5 linked regions of the Sus scrofa genome follow. The protein of the gene in region 5 purifies or fractionates together with the protein of the main gene of each other region. This does not show direct contact. Links are inferred from orthologs where the notes say so. Each region holds a gene or a part of one and is shown on either strand. Other genes may lie near its edges.

What was found.
Region 1: the proteins of MAPK8IP1 (region 5) and MAP2K7 purify together in Homo sapiens (affinity purification with western blotting; 3 studies listed by BioGRID and IntAct, with this or other methods). This does not show direct contact. The link is inferred for Sus scrofa from reciprocal best matches to the Homo sapiens genes MAPK8IP1 and MAP2K7.
Region 2: the proteins of MAPK8IP1 (region 5) and MAPK9 purify together in Homo sapiens (affinity purification with western blotting; 4 studies listed by BioGRID and IntAct, counting the BioPlex papers as one, with this or other methods). This does not show direct contact. The link is inferred for Sus scrofa from reciprocal best matches to the Homo sapiens genes MAPK8IP1 and MAPK9.
Region 3: the proteins of MAPK8IP1 (region 5) and AKT1 purify together in Homo sapiens (affinity purification with western blotting; 3 studies listed by BioGRID). This does not show direct contact. The link is inferred for Sus scrofa from reciprocal best matches to the Homo sapiens genes MAPK8IP1 and AKT1.
Region 4: the proteins of MAPK8IP1 (region 5) and MAP3K7 purify together in Homo sapiens (pull-down; 3 studies listed by BioGRID and IntAct, with this or other methods). This does not show direct contact. The link is inferred for Sus scrofa from reciprocal best matches to the Homo sapiens genes MAPK8IP1 and MAP3K7.

The regions. Positions count from the first base shown.
Region 1 is NC_010444.4:71,298,306-71,302,261, forward strand, and holds the end of MAP2K7 (dual specificity mitogen-activated protein kinase kinase 7), read right to left. Parts: coding exon 3,908-3,956; intron 3,756-3,907; coding exon 3,648-3,755; intron 3,556-3,647; coding exon 3,193-3,555; intron 3,072-3,192; coding exon 2,929-3,071; intron 2,432-2,928; coding exon 2,386-2,431; intron 2,284-2,385; coding exon 2,149-2,283; 3' UTR 705-2,148; downstream 1-704. UniProt on the Homo sapiens protein: Dual specificity protein kinase which acts as an essential component of the MAP kinase signal transduction pathway. Essential component of the stress-activated protein kinase/c-Jun N-terminal kinase (SAP/JNK) signaling pathway.
Region 2 is NC_010444.4:78,393,497-78,397,633, reverse strand, and holds part of MAPK9 (mitogen-activated protein kinase 9), read right to left. Parts: intron 3,278-4,137; coding exon 3,206-3,277; intron 1,746-3,205; coding exon of another isoform or gene 1,741-1,745; coding exon 1,598-1,740; 3' UTR 1-1,597. UniProt on the Homo sapiens protein: Serine/threonine-protein kinase involved in various processes such as cell proliferation, differentiation, migration, transformation and programmed cell death.
Region 3 is NW_018084979.1:3,039,440-3,042,924, forward strand, and holds the end of AKT1 (RAC-alpha serine/threonine-protein kinase), read right to left. Parts: intron 3,372-3,485; coding exon 3,284-3,371; intron 1,959-3,283; coding exon 1,856-1,958; intron 1,635-1,855; coding exon 1,555-1,634; 3' UTR 838-1,554; downstream 1-837. UniProt on the Homo sapiens protein: AKT1 is one of 3 closely related serine/threonine-protein kinases (AKT1, AKT2 and AKT3) called the AKT kinase, and which regulate many processes including metabolism, proliferation, cell survival, growth and angiogenesis.
Region 4 is NC_010443.5:58,484,377-58,489,179, forward strand, and holds the end of MAP3K7 (mitogen-activated protein kinase kinase kinase 7), read right to left. Parts: intron 3,808-4,803; coding exon 3,746-3,807; intron 3,050-3,745; coding exon 2,934-3,049; intron 815-2,933; coding exon 634-814; downstream 1-633. UniProt on the Homo sapiens protein: Serine/threonine kinase which acts as an essential component of the MAP kinase signal transduction pathway. Plays an important role in the cascades of cellular responses evoked by changes in the environment.
Region 5 is NC_010444.4:16,570,808-16,574,944, forward strand, and holds part of MAPK8IP1 (C-Jun-amino-terminal kinase-interacting protein 1), read right to left. Parts: intron 3,318-4,137; exon of another isoform or gene 3,014-3,317; coding exon of another isoform or gene 2,943-3,013; intron 1,759-2,942; coding exon 1,653-1,758; intron 1-1,652. UniProt on the Homo sapiens protein: The JNK-interacting protein (JIP) group of scaffold proteins selectively mediates JNK signaling by aggregating specific components of the MAPK cascade to form a functional JNK signaling module. Required for JNK activation in response to excitotoxic stress.

The sequences.
Region 1 (3,956 bases), about 55 Mb from region 5:
CCACAGACTCAGTGGATGAAAAGGGAGGGATTTTATTCTCAAGCATCTAAGGATTTACAAACAAGGGCATTTCATTTTAAAAAGGAATGGGGGCAATACTGGTGGCCTGAGAAGGGGTCATGGACCTGTGGGCTGGGCCAGGCCACGCCAGGCCCCTTACTGCCCGCTCTGCCCTCTGCCTGGTCCAGAGGGATGGCTGGTGACTGGTGACTTGGGGTAGGGGTGGGACATGGGAGAGGCAGGTGGGGAGAGGCTCCCACTTAACACTGAAGGGTGGGGGCGGGGGGACGGGTGGACACACACAAAACAGAAAATCAAGTTAAATAAAAAATAAACCCAGGCAGCTGGCCTTGGGCCTGCGCAGGCCCTGGGGCCAGCCACGCGACCTTCCCAGCCATCCACAAAGGCCCCCGGGGCTGGGCCTGGCCTGGCAAGGGAGAGCAGGGGCCAGGCCTGTTGGCCCCTCACCCTGCCCCCTCCCCTCACAAAAGGGACTGGAGAGAGAGAGAAGGTGGCCACCCCCCCCGGGGGGGGGGGCGGCGCAGGGGCAGAGAGAAGATGACTGCGAGTACTTTTTAAACATGCGGCATTTGTGACTATCCTAGTAGTAACTCGAGTCATGGGACAAATGGAGGGTCCAGTGATGCCTAGTCTAGATTGCTTCAGCTACAACCAGCGAGGTTCCTCACCTTTGGCGTTGGTTGGTTTTTATGGTTTTTTTTTTTTTTTTTTTTTTTTTTTGCTATTTTGTTTCGTTGTCCACTTGATTTGCATGCATCACCAACAAAAAGGAAACACACCCCCTCCCGCTCGCTCTGGCTGCTGCGCAGAACCCCGGGGATGCTGGGGCCCGGGGCCTCAGGGTGGGCTGGGGACTGGCCAGCTCTGGGTGAGTCGAGGGGCGCTCAGGGCCACTGCAAGGGCGTGACCACCTCCACACGCCCAGCCCTCGGCCTGCCCCACCTCTGTCCCTGTCACACATTCTCAAACCCATACATCCACTCCCTGCACCCTCAATCCCTGCCTCCCTGGGCCCCACGGACCCCACTCCTGTCACCCATTCCCTGTGCCGCCTCCCTGCCGCACCAGCACCTGTTGCCCTCCACCACGCCCCGCGCCTGCCTTCCCTGAAGGCCACCCTGTGTGGCCGAGGCCCTTTGGGCTCTCTCCACCCCTGAGGTCTTCGATTCACCCCACCAAGCTGTGGCCAGTCTCCAGCCCCAAGGGAGGAGCCCCCCCGGAGCCCACCTTTGGGACTAGTCTCTCCTGGGTGGTGGCCCAGGCCCCCATGGCTCGGCCCCCAGCCCCAGCCCCCGAGCCCCGACAGGCAGTCGGGGTTGGGGGGGGCTTCCACCACAAGCAGCTAAACATGACTTTGGTAAAAGTTTCTGAAGGTACCGACAAACCCCATTAAGAACAAGCTCTTCTCCGCCCCCCACCCCCCAAACACCCCACCAAGTACAATAAAATACAATAAACTCCAAAAAGGACCCCCTGAGATCAAAAAGAGAGAGAGAAAGAGACCAGCCCGGGCCCGGCTGCAGTCGCAGCGTCCACAGGAACGCCAGCCAACAGACTCATTGCTTGCCAGACACCTAAGCGGACCCAGGGTCTTGCCAGGGGTGGCAGAGCCCGGGCCTGGGCCAGGAGAGAAGCAGAGCCAGGGAGGGAGATGGGGAAAGCCAGAGAGGTAGAGGGAGGTGACAGAGAGGAAGGTGGGGCCGGGGTGCACGTGCATGGGGCGGCAGTGGGGACAGCGCAGTGAGTGCTGGAGGGTGCAGACGGGCGGCTCTCTCCTGGCCCCTGGGGCCGCCCCAGCCCAGAGGTTACAACTGAATAAATAGCGAGTCTGCTCGCGGCCTGCTGTCTTCCGTTCACAGTGTCTGTCGGGGTTCGGGGGGCGGGGGGGGGGGACGCGCACGGCCGGCTGACCCCGGGACGGGAAGTGCTGGGGCCTGACGGGCCCGTCTGTCCATGGCTGGTGGGCAGGGAGTCGGGGGTGGGTCGGCGCCCCCTACTTTCTGTCCTCAGCCCTCAGCGGCTGTCCAGGTCCCAGGGCTCCCCTGGCAGGCAGCTGGGTAACCCAGTGGGGAAGGGGGGCCTGTGGCCGCACCCTTGGCCCCCGGCAGGCTGGCCACCGCCACGTGGCTACCTGAAGAAGGGCAGGTGGTGCTGGCTCAGGACCCCGCTTGTCCGAGGCGACTCGGTCTTCGCCATGACATCCTTGAACCAGGATGCCACGTCCACCTCCAGCGCCTCGTAGCGCCTGATGAAACTGTGTTCCTGTGGGGCCCAAGGTGGGGGCTTAGGACAAGGGTGTCCAGCTGGGCAGGCAGTGGGGTGAGGGGCTCAGGATGGGGGCTGAGAGGGGCCCCAGATACTCACAAGTAGCTTATTATACTTTGGTCTCTTCCTGTGATCTTTAGTAAGGCTAGAAAGAGAGAGAGAAAAGGAAGTGAGAGTTGGGAGTCGGGTCTGGGTCTGCAAGATCTGTGGCAAGGAGCCGCCACTGCCCCCAGGCCCTGTGCTGACAGAGGATCCTGGGGTCTGCCCTCGGGCCCTCCGACTGTGACAGGCTCCTGCCTGCACTGAGACCCCCGCAGGAGAAGCGGCTGGGCACCCCCAAGGAAGGCTCCAACAAGGATGTCCTGCTCCCACAGTTCAGCTCACCAGTGTAGGACACTCAGACCCTGAACCCTGGGGCACCCTCTGCTTGTTCATAGCCCCCCACAGTGGAGCGCAAAGGCCACTCTGCCACATACCCACAGGGCCCGGTGTCCACTTAGGCTGAGTCCAAACCCAGCTCCCAGCTCCCAGGGCTCAGGCGCCAGCTCCTGCCTGCAGCCCCCAACCCCATCCGGGGCCCCCCCTCCCCTGCCCAGCAGCAGTGAGCACAGGGCCACCTCTGACCTCGCCCTGCTTCCTCACCAGTCTTTGACAAAGGACTGAAAGTCCCCCGAGAAGCCCATGTGACCGGGCAGGAGTGGGGGTTCTTCCTGCAGAACCTTAGTAAGAACCTCAAAATCCGTCTTGCAGTTCTTGTAGGGAAACTGTCCTGTCGCCAGCTCCACCTGAGAGAGAGATAGGCAGGGTTGGTCCGGCCGAGGACAGGGTTCTGCCATCCCTGCCGCCTGCGTCCAACCTCCAAGAAGACCCTAGCCCTGGCCTCCAAAGGCAGAGGCCCCCACTCACCAAGGAGATGCCCAAGCTCCACACGTCTGCCCGAATGTCGTAGTCAGGCTTGGTAGGGTCCGGGGGGTCGATGCGCTCGGGCTGCCGGTGGGAGGTGGGAGAGGGTGGATGGACCCATGGCTGGGGAAGGTGCATCGCCCACCCTTCACACCCGCCCACCGGGCCCTGCTGGGCCCCACTTACTGCCATGTAGGCTGCGCAGCCTGCGCTCCGCGTTTTGGCCTTGGAGTCGACGAGGCGGCCACTGATGCCGAAATCGCAGAGCTTGATCTGGCCCCGCTCATCCAGCAGGATGTTGGAGGGCTTGACATCGCGATGGATCACACCGTGCTTCTCCTTCAGGTAGTAAAGCGCCTTGACAATCTGCGGCGTGGGCAGGGGAGGGTACCAATGATGGCCAGGACCGGGCCTGGGGGCCACCTGCCCGCCAGCCTGCACCCCAGCCAGCCGCTCACCGCCACTGTCATCTTGCCCAGGATCCGCTCAGGGATGGGGCCCTGCATCCGCTTCTTGAGCTTCTCAGCGCACGTGCCCATGAGCTCCATGGCGATGAAGACGTCCGTCTGCGGGGGCAGCAGGCGGTGGCTTGGTGGGGGCAGCTGAACCCTCCTCCCCACCCTAGGGCTCAGGTCGCGGGGGAGGGGACATGGACTAGCTCAGAGACCAGCCCGGGAGGCTTCCAGGGCTCCCCTGATGGGGCGAGCGGCCTGCTCACATTGGTGATGAAGGTCCCGAAGCACTGCACGATGTAGGGGCAGTCGTGG
Region 2 (4,137 bases), about 62 Mb from region 5:
GAATCATATATTTTAGATAATATTTATAATAAACTTTCTTATCAAAGTTCCTCCTCAGAACACATTCTATAGAATGTGAACAATGGTGACCCAATAGCTTCCAAAATAATTAAACACAAGATATGAATCTGTAATAGAATGAGCTCAAGGGAAAAGCATTATGAGCACAGGTAGCCAAAATGTGACCATCGTAACTCCATTTCTGCAATGACACTTCAATACTCAGTATTTCAGTGAGTTTTGAATAGTTTCCATATTGAAAGTCTGAAAGTATCAATTTCAGGTGAGCAGTTTTAAGTCAGAAAATATTCAATAGTTAATCATTACTCTTTAGGGCATTTCCTCCATATCCTTCAGATGGGTTTTCCCAGAACATTCATGGATTTCCCTTAGGAAAAGGAAATGCCGCCATAAAGTGGAAAACAACCACAAACAGGCATTCTGAATTGGCGTGCTTCCTCAAACAGACCAAAGGGGGATTTGTGTGGTTTCTTTCAGAAAAGAAAGAAAATCGAGTAAGCATGCGGTGTTGGAAGAGGGAAACTCTGCCTTGTGAAATCACGGATCTTACCTTGAGCGATGGAAGGTAAGAGAGGACCCAGTCCAGGCTCAGGCAAAGCATGCACTTAGTAAGTGGCTGCAATCATCTTTAGTGATCACTTCGTAAAATTTTTCTCTACCAGCAGTTGATGGGTTCAAGAATGTGTATGCCATCATATTGAGATGGGGTGTTAGGTGACTAATAAAGAAGGCGAAGTTCTAGTATAGCATTTTAAATTAAATATGAAGTTCAGAAGACAAAGAAAAAAGAGATAGGGTACATAGGAATTAAAGGTATATGATATTTTAAGCAGCACAAAACAAAACTTAAAACTTTATCATGCAGTAAAGCTGAATGTACAGTCACCCAGACTAAGACAATTTAGAGAAAACAAAGTGTCCTGGTTTTAGCAGTGGTAATTCTCAGCCCAAATGTGACAAATTTAGGAAAAGTTATATTTTTTAATTTATTTAACAGATTTACTTATATTCCTTCTGAAATATGAAAGAAAATAACTCATACCCTAAAGGAAGGTAAGATACAATAATATGATGGCAGCCAATTAATATACATAAATCTATTTTTTCTGGACAGACACCAAATTACTTAAAAGGATTAAGAGACAATTCTAGAAGCAGCACTACCTAGAAGATTATTTGGCTTTTAAATACTGTTTTTCAAAGTGCTAGAGGGCAAGTCCAAGCAGGCATTTGCGGTCACATGCATATAAGTCCCAACAATTACTGAAGATGAGAAATTGTCACTACTATTACCATACAACTTAAAAAAAAAATCTATTCTAATTGCTCACCTGAAATGACCTTGAACAAAATCTCTAGAAGTGTGGTTTGCACTTTTTTTTTTCTTCAGACATAATCTGCTTCATTTTATAATCTAAGCAAGGCAAGCCTAGTACAACTGAGTAGGGGCAAGGCATCGTGTTTCTTACATGCAGAACATGGAGTTTTTCTATTTGGTTCCATCAACTCCCAGGCATTTCAGGCCCACGGAAGCAAGAGTTCCTTCACTGATGACAAGCTTGCTATTTCTAACTTATCATCGACAACCTTCAAGGGGTCCCGTTGAGGCATCCAGACTGCTGTCTGTGTCTGAGGCCAGGGTCTGCTCAGTGGACATGGATGAAATGTCATTGATAGATGACGACTGAGAAGGAGTGGCGTTGCTACTTACTGCTGCATCTGTGCTAAGAAAACCAAATATAATAAAATCTGAGGCACGACATTGTTGCAAATCCAGGCAGTGAGACTTCAGGCCATTTCTCAGCTTTTTCCTTTTGTAGCTTCCTGTACTAACTATTAGTATAAACAAGAAATTAGTTGACTGTACATTTTGAACCTTTCCTGGAGTCTTTCTTTAGGCTCAAAATCCCAAATATTCCTGTCTTCCCTTGCAACATTTCTTTTCTTCCCAATGGCTAGTCATCATATATGTACTTGTGTATAATCATGTTAACTGCTTAGAAAATATCTGCTGGTTTTAAAAAGATATTTTTTAAAAAACTGCTGAATTTATCCTAAAACTAAAAAAAAAATCTCAAAAAGTTTAATCCCAAATAGGATTCAAGTGTCATCAGACATTTCAATTATAATCATAAACAGTCCAAGGAAAAAAGTATCAACCTTTGCAGAATTCTTTTACAATAAAAATACCTTCCAAAATAAGAACTGCATACAAACAAAAAAAGGAAAAAAATTATAAAGAACACTGTTCATTTTATTTTTGCTTTTTAAATTCCCAAAGGCAAATGAAACCATCCCATTTCTTACTATCTATATTTTAGTCTGGTTTTAGCAAAAATAAAACATCCAGACTCTCAGAGGTCAGTCTTAAATTTGTGCTTTGTTAACAAAAAGCACCTAAATTCACATTATATTCATATACTCTCTAGACACTCGACACACATGTCATGAATAAGAAGTGCAATTTGTATTTATGTGTGTCTATGTGTGCGCACATTTCCCGGTAGGAGTGGAATAATAAAATAAATATAAAGAGTTTTGTTTAAGGTCAAACTCTACAAGACACAAGTTAACACCACATATATTATGTCTCTAGTAATCACACAATTATCTAACGGTTAGAATTCTACCACTAAGTAGATCAAGTAGAAAGATGGGAGAATTATATGAACGATCTTCTCGAAAGAAAAGTAAATTCCATTTTATCTAGATTCACGTTGATATTCTTTTTAACTGGTTAGGACCAGTACAAAGAGGGTCATACACATTGAAAAAGCTTTAAGAAGCTCCCTTGTGGTGCAATGGGTTAAGGATCTGGTGTTGTCACTGAAGCGGCTCAGGCTGCTGCTGTGGTGTGGGTTTGATCCTTGGCCTGGGAACTTCCACATGTCATGGGCATGCCCCCACCCTCCAAAGAGGGTTTAAATTCAATTTCCTTATAAACAAAACTGACAACAGTGTTACAAAGATGAACAAGCATGTTCTTAACACAGTTCACTGCCTGGCCCATCAGTAAAATATTCACTGCCATCACTGGGACAAACCAAAAAGGGGAAGACTATTTCACAGAAAAAATTTTCAAACCCAATATTGGTCAAGCTGGCACTTAACACACTGCTTCTTATAAAAACTAAATAGGGAAAGAAAAATAATATACAATCAAACTATTAAAGCAATCACTAACCTGAAGGTTGATCTTTTACAACACCATTCTTGTTTCTTTCTTCCCAATCCATTACTTCTTTGTAAATTAGCTCTTAAAATAGAAATGCAAGTTAAAACAGCTTCACCAGTTTCCTTGCATCTCTAAATCCTGCTTCCAAATCACACAGAACCACTCCAAGGGCACCGCGATGTATTAGACAAGTAATTTAGTAATATAGTTTACCTAGACTAAAACATTGATATTTGATCCATTACATCTTTTCAACCAACTGTTAAGCCAAAATGTAGGGTGGTTCTGGATCCACAAGGGGGGTTTACAAAGAGAAGCAAGCGTGGGGGCTGGGGACAGGGGAGAAAAGAGAGGGAGGGAAAGTATGAGCAAAGTGGCTCAAACAGGACAGTTTAGAGTATCAGATGTTCTCACACCTGTCTGCACATGTTTTTCTCCATCATTACTTGTGGTTCTCCAAACGTAACCCCTTCAAGGACGGCTGTGGCTCTTTCCTGGGATGTGGAAGCCGGTGGCAAAAATATCCGGGAGTATTCCAACTGAAGGTTGACATCCTGCTTGGGTCATTAGCACCAAGACCTGGCCCCACGCAATGGTCTGTAGGCTCCAGTGCTAGGACACCTCAGGCCAGTCAATGAGGCAGGAACACAGCCCCACCCATCAGCAGACACACTACCTAAAGACTTTCTGAGCTCACAGCCACCTCTAGACACACCCCTTGACATGGCCCTGCCTACCTAAGGGCCAAGACCCAACTCCACCCACTAGTGGGCAGGTACCAGCCCCTCCCACCAAGAAGTCTGCACAAGCCTCTAAATCAGCCTCATTCCCCAGGCGGCAGACACAAGAAGCACAAACGATACAATCCTACAGACTGTGGAAGTGAGTCCACAAACACAGGTCGGAACTTGCCCGGGGACCAGCTGGTCCCAGTCCTTAGG
Region 3 (3,485 bases), on a different chromosome or scaffold from region 5:
ATCTCTCGTTCCTGCCAGACGTGGACAGGCTTCCAGTTTGATGCATTTTTTTCTATCTGAAATCTGGGTCCAAAGTCTTGTTTAGTAGGTAGCATTTGCTGTGGTTTGGGTATCCCCAAAAGCTGTGTCCTGGAGCCTGTCAAAACGGAGGTAGTGAGGGACCACCCGGCGGAGAACCAGGCTGCTCTGGATGCCCTCGGCCCCATGCTCCTTGCAGCCGCCCCACCCCAAGGCCTTATGGTCAGAATCAGCTGCCGCGGAGCCTGGGGAGACAGGCAGCTCTGCCCCCTCCCCCAGGCCCGGGCGCCAGGTCCGGCAAACGTCGTGCCCTGTGACGGTCCCCGCGTCCTGGCCACACCTGCGAGGTTGAGTCCACCAGGGACAGGAAGAGCAGCAGGCTCGTGCTGGGCAGCTGGTTCCTCTCCGCGCCCACCAGGTGGCGCCCGCGGCACGTCCTGCCCTCCCGTGCCGCCAGACTCGGCGCGGGTCCTAGGGCGGGGCACCTGGGTAACGCCTTCCCCCCCGCAGGTTGCTTTTTCGCACCTCCTCAGGTCCCAGGGCCTGGCGGTGGCCCTGTCTCGACCTTGGCCAGCTCTGGGCCCTTCAGGGTCCCGGTCCTTCCCCGTGACCAGGATCTGCTGGATGGACAGGGCTGGTGCGCAGGTGGCCGTGCAGTCTGGGTGGCCTTCTCGGGGCGTGGGACTGGGGCGAAGCCACCGAGTCCTGCCAGAGCTGCGTGGGGGACACCTATCCTCGTAGGCTGCCCTCGGGACCGCGAGGCAGGAGGGACAGGGCCCTCCACACCAGTGGGCCGGCCACCTAACTAAACAAGCCACGGAGTTGAAAAGCAAGTTTTATTGAGGAATTTGGAGGGAAAGTCTCATAATAGTAAAAATACTAAAGTTGAATATAAAAAACCGCCGTGGTGCAGCGTAGCGTCTGGCCGGAGGGCGGAGCGATGGCCCCTGCAAAGGGCGTGGGGCGGGGCCGCGGCGACAGCGGGAGGGTGAAGCTTCTATGAGGACAATTGCTAACCAGGGGAGCCATCGGATGGGATGGTCCCAACGGGCAGGGGCAGAGGGGGGCTTCCTTCTGAGATGAAGCCCCCAGGACGCGCGTGAACAGAGCAGGATCTCGCCCGGCCCAGCCCCACGCAGGGGCCGCCCGCCTCCAGCCCCGGCCAGGCCCCGGCCGGCGCTCCTGGCCCGGCTTGCTTCCGGGCCGAGTCGGTGCGGCCGGGAGCGCGGGCGAGGCCCACCCGGCCCGAGAGCGCGCGGCGCGTGGCCGCGCCTGGAGAACCGGATGAATAAATTAGGAAAAACTGCAGGGCGTTTTCCTCCCGGCCCGGCTGGAGGCTGGGGAGGCGGCCCGGGGCCGGGCGGGCAGCCCCCGCCACAGCCGCCACAGCGCGAGCCGCGCATCCCTGGTGGGAGGAGCAGCCCGGTGCGGCCCAAACGCGTCCAGAAACAAAACCCATTAAATACAGGAGGTCCGAGCGCGGCTTCCCGCCTCCCTTCGAAGCCGTCGTCCGGAGAGCGCGCCCGGCTGGCCGCCTCAGGCCGTGCCGCTGGCCGAGTAGGAGAACTGGGGGAAGTGAGGCCTCCGCTCGCTGTCCACGCCCTCCATGCTGTCGTCTGCGGGCACGCGCGGGGCGGCTCAGAGCCCGGGCACCAGCGAGACCCCAGCGCCCGGCAGGCTCGCCTCCTCGCCCCGCGAGGCCCTCCTGCCGCGGCCGCCACCCCCCAAAGGCAGCCTTCCCGAGGGCCGCTGGACGGCCGGCCTCCCACCGAGGGCAGCGCCGAGGGATGGTGCGCGCGCGCGCCCGGGGGAGCGGAGGGGAAGGCGCGGCCCTCACCTTGGTCGGGCGGCGTGATGGTGATCATCTGCGCCGTGAACTCCTCGTCGAAATACCTGGTGTCCGTCTCGGACGTGACCTGAGGCTTGAACGGTGGGCTGAGCTGCGGAAAGGGGGGCTGGGTTACAGACCCGGACCCGCCCGGACCACGGCCCCCAGGGAGCTGTGCCCCTGGCTTGGGAAATGACTCCTGTCTCCCAGGGGACGGTGTCCAGGCAGCCGTCCCCACCCACAGGCAGAGTTCTGGAAGGAGACCTGCACAGGAGGGGACCCACCTAGGGCCTAGGTGGGTGCCCCTCAACCAAGAGCCCGCAAGCAGTGTCACGGCGCCCCTGCAGGTGATAGGAGGCAGTGCAGCCCAGCTCCGAGGACCCCACCCCCGGGGCAGAAGGGGCCCTGGCCACTTTTCTTTCTCCAGCGCTCCTATTTTCCTTTCCGGGTGTCTCAGAAACCGCCGGCAGGCCCAGGCTGCAGAGGCTAATGCCAGACAAGGGGAGGGCAGGGCTCGGGGGCCCACTGCCACCCGGGAGGGGGCCCCGGAGCAGCCGGCCACTGCCCCCTGCCCAGGGCCTGTGCCAACCCCACCAGGTGCCCTGGGGAGGGAGGGGGATGCGATGCCCAAGCCCCGCCCAGGAGATGTGGATGGGGCCCCGCCCTCCCCTGCCCGCTTCCCCTCGGGGGGCCTGGTCCTTCAGGGGTCCACCGGAGGGAGTCTGGTGCCTCACTCGCAGCTCCCGGGTAGCAGAGTGGCCCTGAGCGTGGCCACAGGCAGGACTCCCAACGACGCGGAATGAGAGGCCAAGTGTAAGGGGCCAGGCTGGGGGGAGAAGCAAGCGCCCCACCCCACCCCCACCAGGGCCCTGGCCTGGGGGTGGGGCTGCCCTGGGAACTAGCAGGGACCAACAGGGTGGGCACTGCAGCCCCCAGAGGGCAGGCCCCTGGCCTGGAGCTGAGCAGGGTGGGGCACCCATCTCTCAGGGGCTAGAGGCCCAGCCGGCTGCGTGTGGCCTGCAGGCGAGGGAGACTGGAAATGGGGGCGAGGTGTGCTTGTGACAGGACGTCAACGAGCCCGGGGACATCCCCCTCCTGCCCCCAGCCTGCTGGGCCAGGGCCTGGGGCTCCCGAGTCCCTCAGAGGCAACGGGCAGAGGCACATGTTTAGGAAGAAGCTGCCTCGCTCCTCAGGGGCCTCCTCACGTGTGGGTGAGCAGGTGTGTGTGTGCAGGTGTGTGAGCAGGTGTGAGCCTGTGTGTGTGCAGGTGTAGGGTGTGTGAGACCAGGTGTGCCAGCAGGGGTGGGGGTGGGAGCAGGTGTGTGAGTGGATGTGCGTGTAAGCGTGTGTGTGCAGGTGTGCCACCGTGTGGGGGTGGAGGTGAGAGCCTGAGTAAGGGTGTGGCTGGGGGGGGCCGGCCCACAGGCCCCCACGCACCTTCTTCTCATACACATCCTGCCACACGATGCTGGCGAAGAAACGGTGCTGCATGATCTCCTTGGCATCCTCAGAGCCCCCGCCGAGCCTGGGGGAGACGAGGCCATGGTGACGGGGGCTGCCTCCTGCCCGGCCCAGAGCTCGGCCCTTCCCCCACGAGGTCTCGGGCAGCGGGGGACAGGCAGCCTCCCTGGGGCCCCCG
Region 4 (4,803 bases), on a different chromosome or scaffold from region 5:
AGTCTAATGAAATATGCTTCTATTAAATACAGCAGCCGCCACTTACCTTTAAATATTTTATGGATAAAGTTCATTACTGATCCAAGGATGCTGGCATCAAAGCCCTTACTCCCAACTATCACTAAAGTTCTGTATTTCAATAATGTACCACCAATTATTCTAGATTTATAATACCCTGTCTTTAACTTGGTATATGCCATCTTTTGGAAAAAAAAAATATTGTTTTTTTTTTTTTGAGATGAGATACAAGAACAAAATCATTCTTGAGGTTCCACCTCGGAAAAAAAGACGATGTTTGCACATAGCAGCTAGTTTGATACCCCTGTTTCTGTTAGGCTAGCCTTCACACAACGAGCATGCGTATACAGCCACGGTTCACTGCATCTGTTGTGAAGTTGAGAACTGCTGCTTATTCAAGTACAGATGCCCCCGTGTTATGCAAGGAGACAGGTGAACTGCATGTCCACCATGAGAAAAGGAAAATAAACGATGAAACAAATGCAGCAAATACAGGCAGCTGGCATTCAGAACACGCCAAAAAGCTAACACTCATGAATTGTCATTATAAGGGTCTTTCTTTCCTTAAAAAAGAGTCTTTCTTTGCATATTTTAAAATTTAACGGTCCCAGAGAATCATGAAGTGCCTTGTCTTTTTTGCTGCTGACTTCTGATGACCTCTAGTTGCTTTTTGCATTGCTGATAGTAAGTAGAAAGGCTTTTGTTTTCATCTAAAAGCTTTTTGTGTTCCTGTACCAGCCGAGATGTATTTTGCTGGTCCTTTTCATCCTGGTCCAGTTCTGCAACTAGTTCTTGCCTAAAAACAAATACAGCATATTACACATGATGGAAAAATTCATACCTTAATAACTGATGATGGAATCTCAATTTCAATTAATTAGAGCTTTTATTCTGCGTTTATCATTATGAACCTTAGTTACACTACTCAAATATAATTATGAGCTGGAATGGAAACTATCATCCACTCTTCTGCTGTAACCATACAAATATCATAATCCTTTTAACAGGCAACTGTATTTAGGTAAATACTGAAAATGGATAAAATGGTATAATAAAAGTTGCAGAAAATTTCATTTGGTATCCCTTTTGTGTAGGAGGGAAGAAAAAAGACTGGGAAAGGCTTTAACTGGCTACAGGGATATAACACTTGAAGTTTCTATCATGCACATTCTACTTCTATACTCATGTATTCATATTCCAAAGTCACAATCCTATTTAACTACAGTGCCAAATAGTAGTTAACAGAACATCTGCAAGCTAATTAAAATAGATGCTCTCGGGAGTTCCCATCATGGCGCAGCGGATATGAATCCAACTAGGAACCATGAGGTTTCAGGTTCAATCCCTGGCCTCGCTCAGCGGGTCAAGCAAGGATCTGGCATTGCCATGAGCTGTGGTGTAGGTTGCAGATGTGGCTTGGATCTGGCATGTTGCTGTGGCTGTGGCATAGGCCCGTGGCTACAATTCTGATTCAACCCCCAGCCTGGGAACCTCCATATTCCTCGGGTGTGGCCCTAAAAAGACAAAATAAATAAATAAATAAATAAAATAGGTGCTATCCAACTGAAATCTCTTTCCTACTTTAAAATAATGAGAAGAGGAGTTCCTGTCGTGGTGCAGCGGTCAACGAATCCGACTAGGAACCATGAGGTTGCGGGTTCGATCCCTGGCCTTGCTCAGTGGGTTAAGGATCCGGCGTTGCCATGAGCTGTGGTGTAGGTCACAGACACAGCTCGGATCCCGCGTTGCTGTGGCTCTGGTGTAGGCCGGTGGCTACAGCTCCAATTAGACACCTAGCCTGGGAACCTCCATATGCCACAGGAAGTGGCCCTAGAAAAGGCAAAAAGACAAAAAAAAAGAGAAGAATACAAAGTACCACTCTTAAAACACTCACTTTTGCAAATATTTTCAGGAAAGATCCTCAGAGTCTTTTATAGCCTGATAAATTTCTTTGTTTGGGGGATATTATATATCAGCTCATTAAGTGAGACCACTGGATATAACTGAATAATTAATGAAAAGTCCTCAAATAAAAATTTACTAGTAATGTTTCTTATCCAAAGTATTTAAAATCAATTAAAACTGTCATAGTTTTCACAGTGCCCCCATTACACCATTTTTTTTCCAGCATAAAACTCTTCTCTCAAATGATTTAAAGTGTGAAAGAATAAAGATTAAATATGTGATGACAGAGTTTTTAAAAAATCTTAATATAAAATGACAGTTCTATAATTAGTACTACAGTTTGCAGTCTCTAATTTCCTATCAGCCTTACCTTTAAAATATTAAGGTAAATTTATCTAAAATCATTTTATTAGTAAATTGTGAAAAAACTATTTTTGTTCCCTTTGGAAGTACCACCATAAATCAGCTTCATAGGTATAAAATTTCATAAAGGTCATGCTTAAAAAGACTGAAATATTGTTTTTAAGAATCTCAGTAGAGAAGTATGGAAATGGGACTGCATTGAAAAGGGGAGGAAGGCAGTCTATCTCCCAGAAAAACACTCACAAGTATGAAATAAAGCCACTAGTTAAGTAATTCTACTCTCTTCAACATACACCTGGAAAGAATATATTATCTACAAAAATGCTTCTAGGATAAATCACAACGGAACATTATATATCAAATTGTTTTATCTGTGTCTAAGAAAACAATAAATCTTCCTAAACAATAAATCTAAGCAGCTTTTAACTTAAAAATGCTGAAAACATCAAACAATGGTCATAAGTACCAGTTTATTTTCCTTAGTTATGTTTTCCTAATATAAGATATAGTCAAAAGAGTTGAATTTTTGCATGAACAATTAGCCAATGGGTGCTTAAAACTTACAGTTTTCATGTCCTAAGCAATGATGCACTTTAATTTAAACTCCAAATACTGATGTTTTATTTTTATTCATAAAGACAACTTACTTTCTCTGTAATAATAATGCAATTTCTGTTTGGACTTTCATATATTCTTGTGCCATTTTACAATGCTGTTCAAACACTGCCATAGATTCTTTGGAGTTTGGGCATGGTGCTAGAGGCTGAAAATAAATCAAGAAATGTTAAAACATAATTAGATCAAATCTCAATTATCTAGCTGAGAGTTAAGACAGAGACTGTGATTTTTTTTTTTATAGCACTAAAGCAATGATCATTTAAAAATATGTGTTAAAGTAGGCCTAGAAAATCTGTGTCCTTTTGTCAGCATTAACTCAGATCTTAAATTTACACTTGCTGTTTTAACACTTTCATTGTTACGGAGAGCCACAACTAGAGTACTCTGGGACTGTGGTTTTATGTTTCAGACTGTCAAACTTTATTATACTGAAAGATGTTTATAGCTCTCATTTGAGAGACACTGAAGTATATTATTTATATTTTCAGTCACCATGAACATGCCAAATTACCACAAAATCTATTAAGCAGAAATAAGCTTATATGAATTTTATATTATAATGTGCTAAAAATAAGGAGCAAAAACATTATTCTTGGCAGTCCTGAACAAAGATATGGATATTTTAAGATGATTGCTAGAATAGGAACATCTGATTTGGCAATTTTAATTTGATTAACTTAACTAAGAATCACTTATTTTAACTTGATTTTAAAATAAAGAGGCCAACTAAAAGCATAAATAAATGGATATAAAGTGACAGATAGGAACACAACCATCAGCTTTAAAGGTAAACTTCTCTAAAAAGGAAAAAGTAAACTTCGCTAAGAAAGTACTCCTTTACCTGTAGTTGGTGATCCAGTGTAAGATAAGCCATTGGGATGGAATTATCTGATCCATTGGTATCTGGAATTACAGCATGTATTTTATTTATTTTTTGTCATAAATAGTTACAAACGAAAAGCAAGAAAGCATGCATGAGGTGCTGGTACTATTTTCCCCAAAGTAAAAGAAAAGTTATTGTTACTGGTAATTTTTGAATTTAAAAGGTAAAAAAAGAGGACATTCAAATACAAATAATTAGAATACAACCATACTCTCATACCTACAATTTACATCGGCTATAAATGGGACTAGAACATAATGTACTAAAGCATGTAAGCCTTATTTAATTAAAAACAAACAGTGATGTGGGACCTTTAAAATATTTCTATTTTAAATTCAGTCTTAACTGCCTCTACCTAATCAAACCCATCTCTTTCTTTCCTGGATCATATTAAGTTTACTTAAGGCTGTGTAGATTCCAGCAACACCAGTGTTCCCTAAAAGGGAAAGGGTGAAAACAAGAGACACATTTTGTTTCAGTGGATCATCTTCAATTAGTGTGGGTTCAAATGTGAGCCGCCCATCCCACCCCTCCCAATAAGAATCACTGAAGAAAATTAGAGATGTTATTGATGGGAGTATATGACACACATGGATAATACGGAATCTGTGACTCAATTTCATGTCAAAAGAGTTAAATGGGTTAATTCAAACAACCCGCCAATTTTATCCAACTATTTAGGTTTTGTTCATATTTCAAAAGAGAATAAAATTGCCATAACGACTTGCAAGAGAAGCATGGGACTGTCTCTTTCCAACATTAACATTTATGTACAACAGCTCCACAAGCAGGCAGGGTAACTGAAGAGTGAGTGACACAGACTTTCCTATTTCAGAAGTAGCTGCTTTCCCATCTTTAATAGAGGATAAATGAGCTAAATGAGTGAGCTGTTCAGCTGTTTTCCTGACAAGCACTACTTGAAAGAGTGGTACAGATAAAGGTAAAGTCAGGATGATAGCAAGGCACTGACTCGAACGCAATAAAAACTATGACAGTTTGATGGTTCAGAAAACTCC
Region 5 (4,137 bases):
GACAGGAGGACAGGAGGACCTGAGCGCGGCTGGAAGAGGGATGCTGAGCAAATGGGAGGCACCTGAAGAGGCAGTGGCATCCCCACCCTCCCCCGTCCTCAGGTTGAGGCCCCTCCAACCTGACATTTTCTCTCAGGCCAGCCTAACTTTGACAGTTAAGAGTCCCGTTTTAGTTCCAGCTCTGCCATGAACTCCCTGACACCTTGGAGAGATCCCCCGACTCTCCAGGTCCCTCACCAGTTAACTGCCTACCAGCTTCCCAGAGAGGTGAGGACTCACTGGCAATACTATGTGAAAGCCCCCTGGAGCTTGTCTAAGGCCCCACAGGGTACTGCCTCAGGGTCCTGCGGGTTGCAAGGACCACCCTCTCCCTCTTCAAGGCTCAGCTTGTGTAAGTCTGGGGAGAGCACAGTGTGGGAGTCCCCAACAGGTGTATGACCTTAGAGAAGCTATGCTGGTCCACAATAAATGGCCTTGGAGTTCCTGTTGTGGCACAGCGGTAAACGAATCCGACTAGTAACGATGAGGTGGCTGGTTTGATCCCTGGCCTCACTCAGTGGGTTAAGGATCCAGCGTTGCTGTGAGCTGTGGCGTAAGTCGCAGACGTGGCTCAGATCCCGCATGTGGCTCTGGCGAAGGCTGACCCCTAGCCTGGGAACCGCCACATGCCACGGGTGCGGCCCTGAAAAGCAAAAAAAAAAAAAAAAAAAAAAAAAGCCTCTCTCTCCATCCCTGCCTGGCCTAGCCAGAGGGTGGTGGGTTGGGGTACAGGGTACTGGAGGGTTAGCCTCACCCTTTGGTTTCCTTTGGCCTGGCAGAGCTTGCAGAATCTCTGGGGGCAAGAAAAGGTCAACACAGGCACCCCACCCAACTCACTGCAGCTCTCCTTTGCTAACCATTCCCCCAACACCGTGTCTACTAGGGCCACCCACCCTCCCAGGAGCTGAGAGAAGCTCTGGGCTCTGCAACCTAGACTTGTGCTTGCCTTCCCTCTCCTGGCTAGCAGCCCCTTCTTCCTGTTCTGGAAAGACAAGGGAGAATCCCCATCCAGCCCAGGATCCCCACCTCCTGTGGGATTCAGAACTCTGGGAGTGGGAGCCATCTGTCCTGTGACAAAGGCATGGGGCCCAAAGCAGCAGCAATGTTGGATTAACCTTCCAGAGGCCTCCTTTGTGGGCCAGAGAGGGTCTGCGAGGCTGTGGGGTGTGCTTGGTGCAGTGGTGGCCAAGGGAGTGCCTTGGCTCTTTTGTCCTGCCCCAAAGCACTGCAGGTTCTGCCAGACTCCACCCTGCTCTGCCTCAGGACTTCTGCCATGGCCGCTCTGGAAAGGAATTAGGGGAGTCCCAAACCTTCCCTTAATTCTGGCCCTAACTGCTACTGTCCTAGACCTCAAGACTTCCTGCTCTCTTCCTTCTGGGCAGTTGAAGGAGCTGCTTCCTGCCTTTGCCCTTGGCAAAATATATAAATAATTTAAAAAATCTGAGCCATCAAGATAGGAGCCAAGCATCACACTGCATGTTTCCTGCATGTTATTTCATTTAATGAGAATGCCACGCAGACGCGGAAAGCCCCTCTAGATATAGAAGCGCTCTCACTCCTGTCCCTACCCATTCTGCCACCCCACTCAGGGGCTCCTGAGAGCCCGCCCTTACCCGTAAGGACAGGGTGTCTTTGCACTGCAGGCTGATGCCACACTCATCAGTGATCTCGGAAAGGTCTTCATCTTCAAACTCCTCCAGGCTGATGTCATGGGTGAGCCTGATGGGGACAGAAAGCCAGAGTTACCACTCAAGGGACTGTTGTCAGCGGACTGAGGCCTTCTGATGTCTCCCTAATAGCTCTTCCAAGGGACAGCCCCTCGAAGGCAGATCGCAGCCCCCAGAGGATGGGACCTGGGCTCCCCCTGCACCAGTGCAAGGGGTACTGAACAGAAAGGGAAAGAGTTTGGGGCTCGAGTCAAAAGGCAGGCCTCCGGGGGGGGGGGGCAGTGGAAAGGGAGGCCCCGGGTTATTCCAGCTCCTCTGGGCTGGGAGATGTCCACCCTGCTGCCAAGCAGGAGGCCCTGCCTAGAAGGCCCAGCTGGTCAGAGCTGAGGCTCTGCCAGAGAAATGGCTTCCAGGGTCAAGGCAGGTGCCAAGGCCAGTTCAGCCACAGAGGGGACAGAGAGAGATGAGAAGAGTCTCCAAAGGATGCCTGGAGTGGGGGTTCCCTGTACAATCTGTGCCGTGACCAAACCTGAGGTACTGGCAGAGGCCCTGCTCCACCTTGGAGCAGCACTCCATGTCCCCAGCCCAGGAAGTCCCATGCCTCATAAGCCCTGGGAGCGAGGCACGGGAATGCAGGGGTCAATGTGGGTGGTTTTAGCTGTTCTAGGAAAGACCGTGCCCCATTCTGTTCTTGGTCCCATCAGCGCACACCCCCAATCCTCCTGCCCCAGCCTCTGGGCCCTGAACAGCGGGGGTCAGGGAAGGTGGAGGTGGCCTGGGCTCAGAGGCAGACCCAAGCGCTTCAGCGCTTCAGCATCGAATCTCTAACTGGGTGTCCTGGGACCCTCTCCCCACCCCCCCACCCCACCCCCACCCACCGGCCCGCCCTAAAAGCCCCCCAGGGCGGGGCTGTCCCAGCCACTGAGCTCCCTGCGGGTCCCCTCACCTCTCCAGCCCCCCAGCCCCAGACACTCTGCAGGCTTCAATGTGGGAGGGACACTGGGAGAATTCTGCTAAGGAAGTTGGGGAGAATTGAGTCTTTTCCTCAATAAGACGAGGCGATTGAGGCACACAGCAAGGGAGACCCCCCGGTCCAAGGTCACTTAGGAAAGGTCACGGGCTCAGCCCCAGGGGAACCTCGGAGGCCCACACCCCGGCCTCTTGCCTCAACCCGACCAACAGAGACCCAGAGCTCAGTGGAGCTCCCCCCTCCCCCACCGGTCCCCGCACCCCTACCAGCGCTCCCACTGATCCTCCAACCAGCTGTCATTGTCTGGGCTCGAATCCATCTTCAGCACCAGCTGCATGGAGAGCCCTGCCCGGCCCGGGGGCTGCAGAGCCCCGGGGCCGCCCTCTCATGCCCAGAAGGGTGGGGGGGCCAGGGCTCGGGGCAGGGCTGGGGCCTCGGGCCTCCACAGCCTGGGCCTGCCTTTCTGCGTCCTGCCCGCTGCAGACGCCCGGGGAGCTCATTAAAAATAGATGGGCTGGGGGAAGAGGCAGCGGTTGCGGACCGGCCTGGCCCCAGCTCTTCCCAGCCAGCCTTCAGCTGCAGGCAGCTTCCTCCCCCGGCCTTTGCGCTGCCGCTGCCGTTGTCGCCTCCCCCGCGGGATCAGGTTACTGCAATCGATGCTACCGGCTCCACCTGCCCTTCCAATGCCCCTGTCGGGGGATGGGGTGGCCCCCCTCCCTGGTCCAGGCTTCTAAGCAGATGGCAGAAATCTGGGATATTTCCCCCCAAAAGCCAGCCCCTGATCTGCTTTAAAGGGCCAGCACCACAATTAGGGTTCACGGTGGCCAGACTGGGGGAGGGGGTTCTGAAATTCTCCAGAAGTGGATGCCCCATCTCCACAGCTACTCGCTCAGCCCCCACACCCCATCAGGGAGGTTTCTGTGGGCCCAGGCGGCGTCCACACAGGGCTGCCTGGGGTGGGTCGGGGCTGCTTCTATTGCCTGCCTGAGTGCAGCCAGAACCCTGCCCCCTTCTTGGGGCTTCAGACTTCAGCACCCACCCAGGAAGTGCCTAGAGGCACAGGCCAGGGCGAGGGGTGTGCGGGCCCTGGAGGGAAGGGAGGGAAGGAGTCTCCTGCCACTGCGGGGCGGGGCGACATAAGCCGGGAGGCCCCTAGAGGGAATGGCAAGGGGCACAGTGGGATTCTGACCAGCGCCAGGGGGCTGGATGGACAAAGTGCTCTTTCAGGCCCCTTCTGACCTGGAGCCCGAGGATGGTGGCTTCCCAGGGCTGGGGGTGGGCATGGTGTGGAATCAGGGGTCTCTGGGGAGGGAGCCCAGCCCGAAGCCAGGGCAGCCCTGCTCTGTCCGGCTGGTGCAGGGTGGCATCTCTGGCCCTGGGAGGAGAACCCAGAGGTGGGCACTAAGCAGATGGTCAATGCACACTGGCCGCCTGGCCAGACCCAGAGAGGGCAGCCCTGCC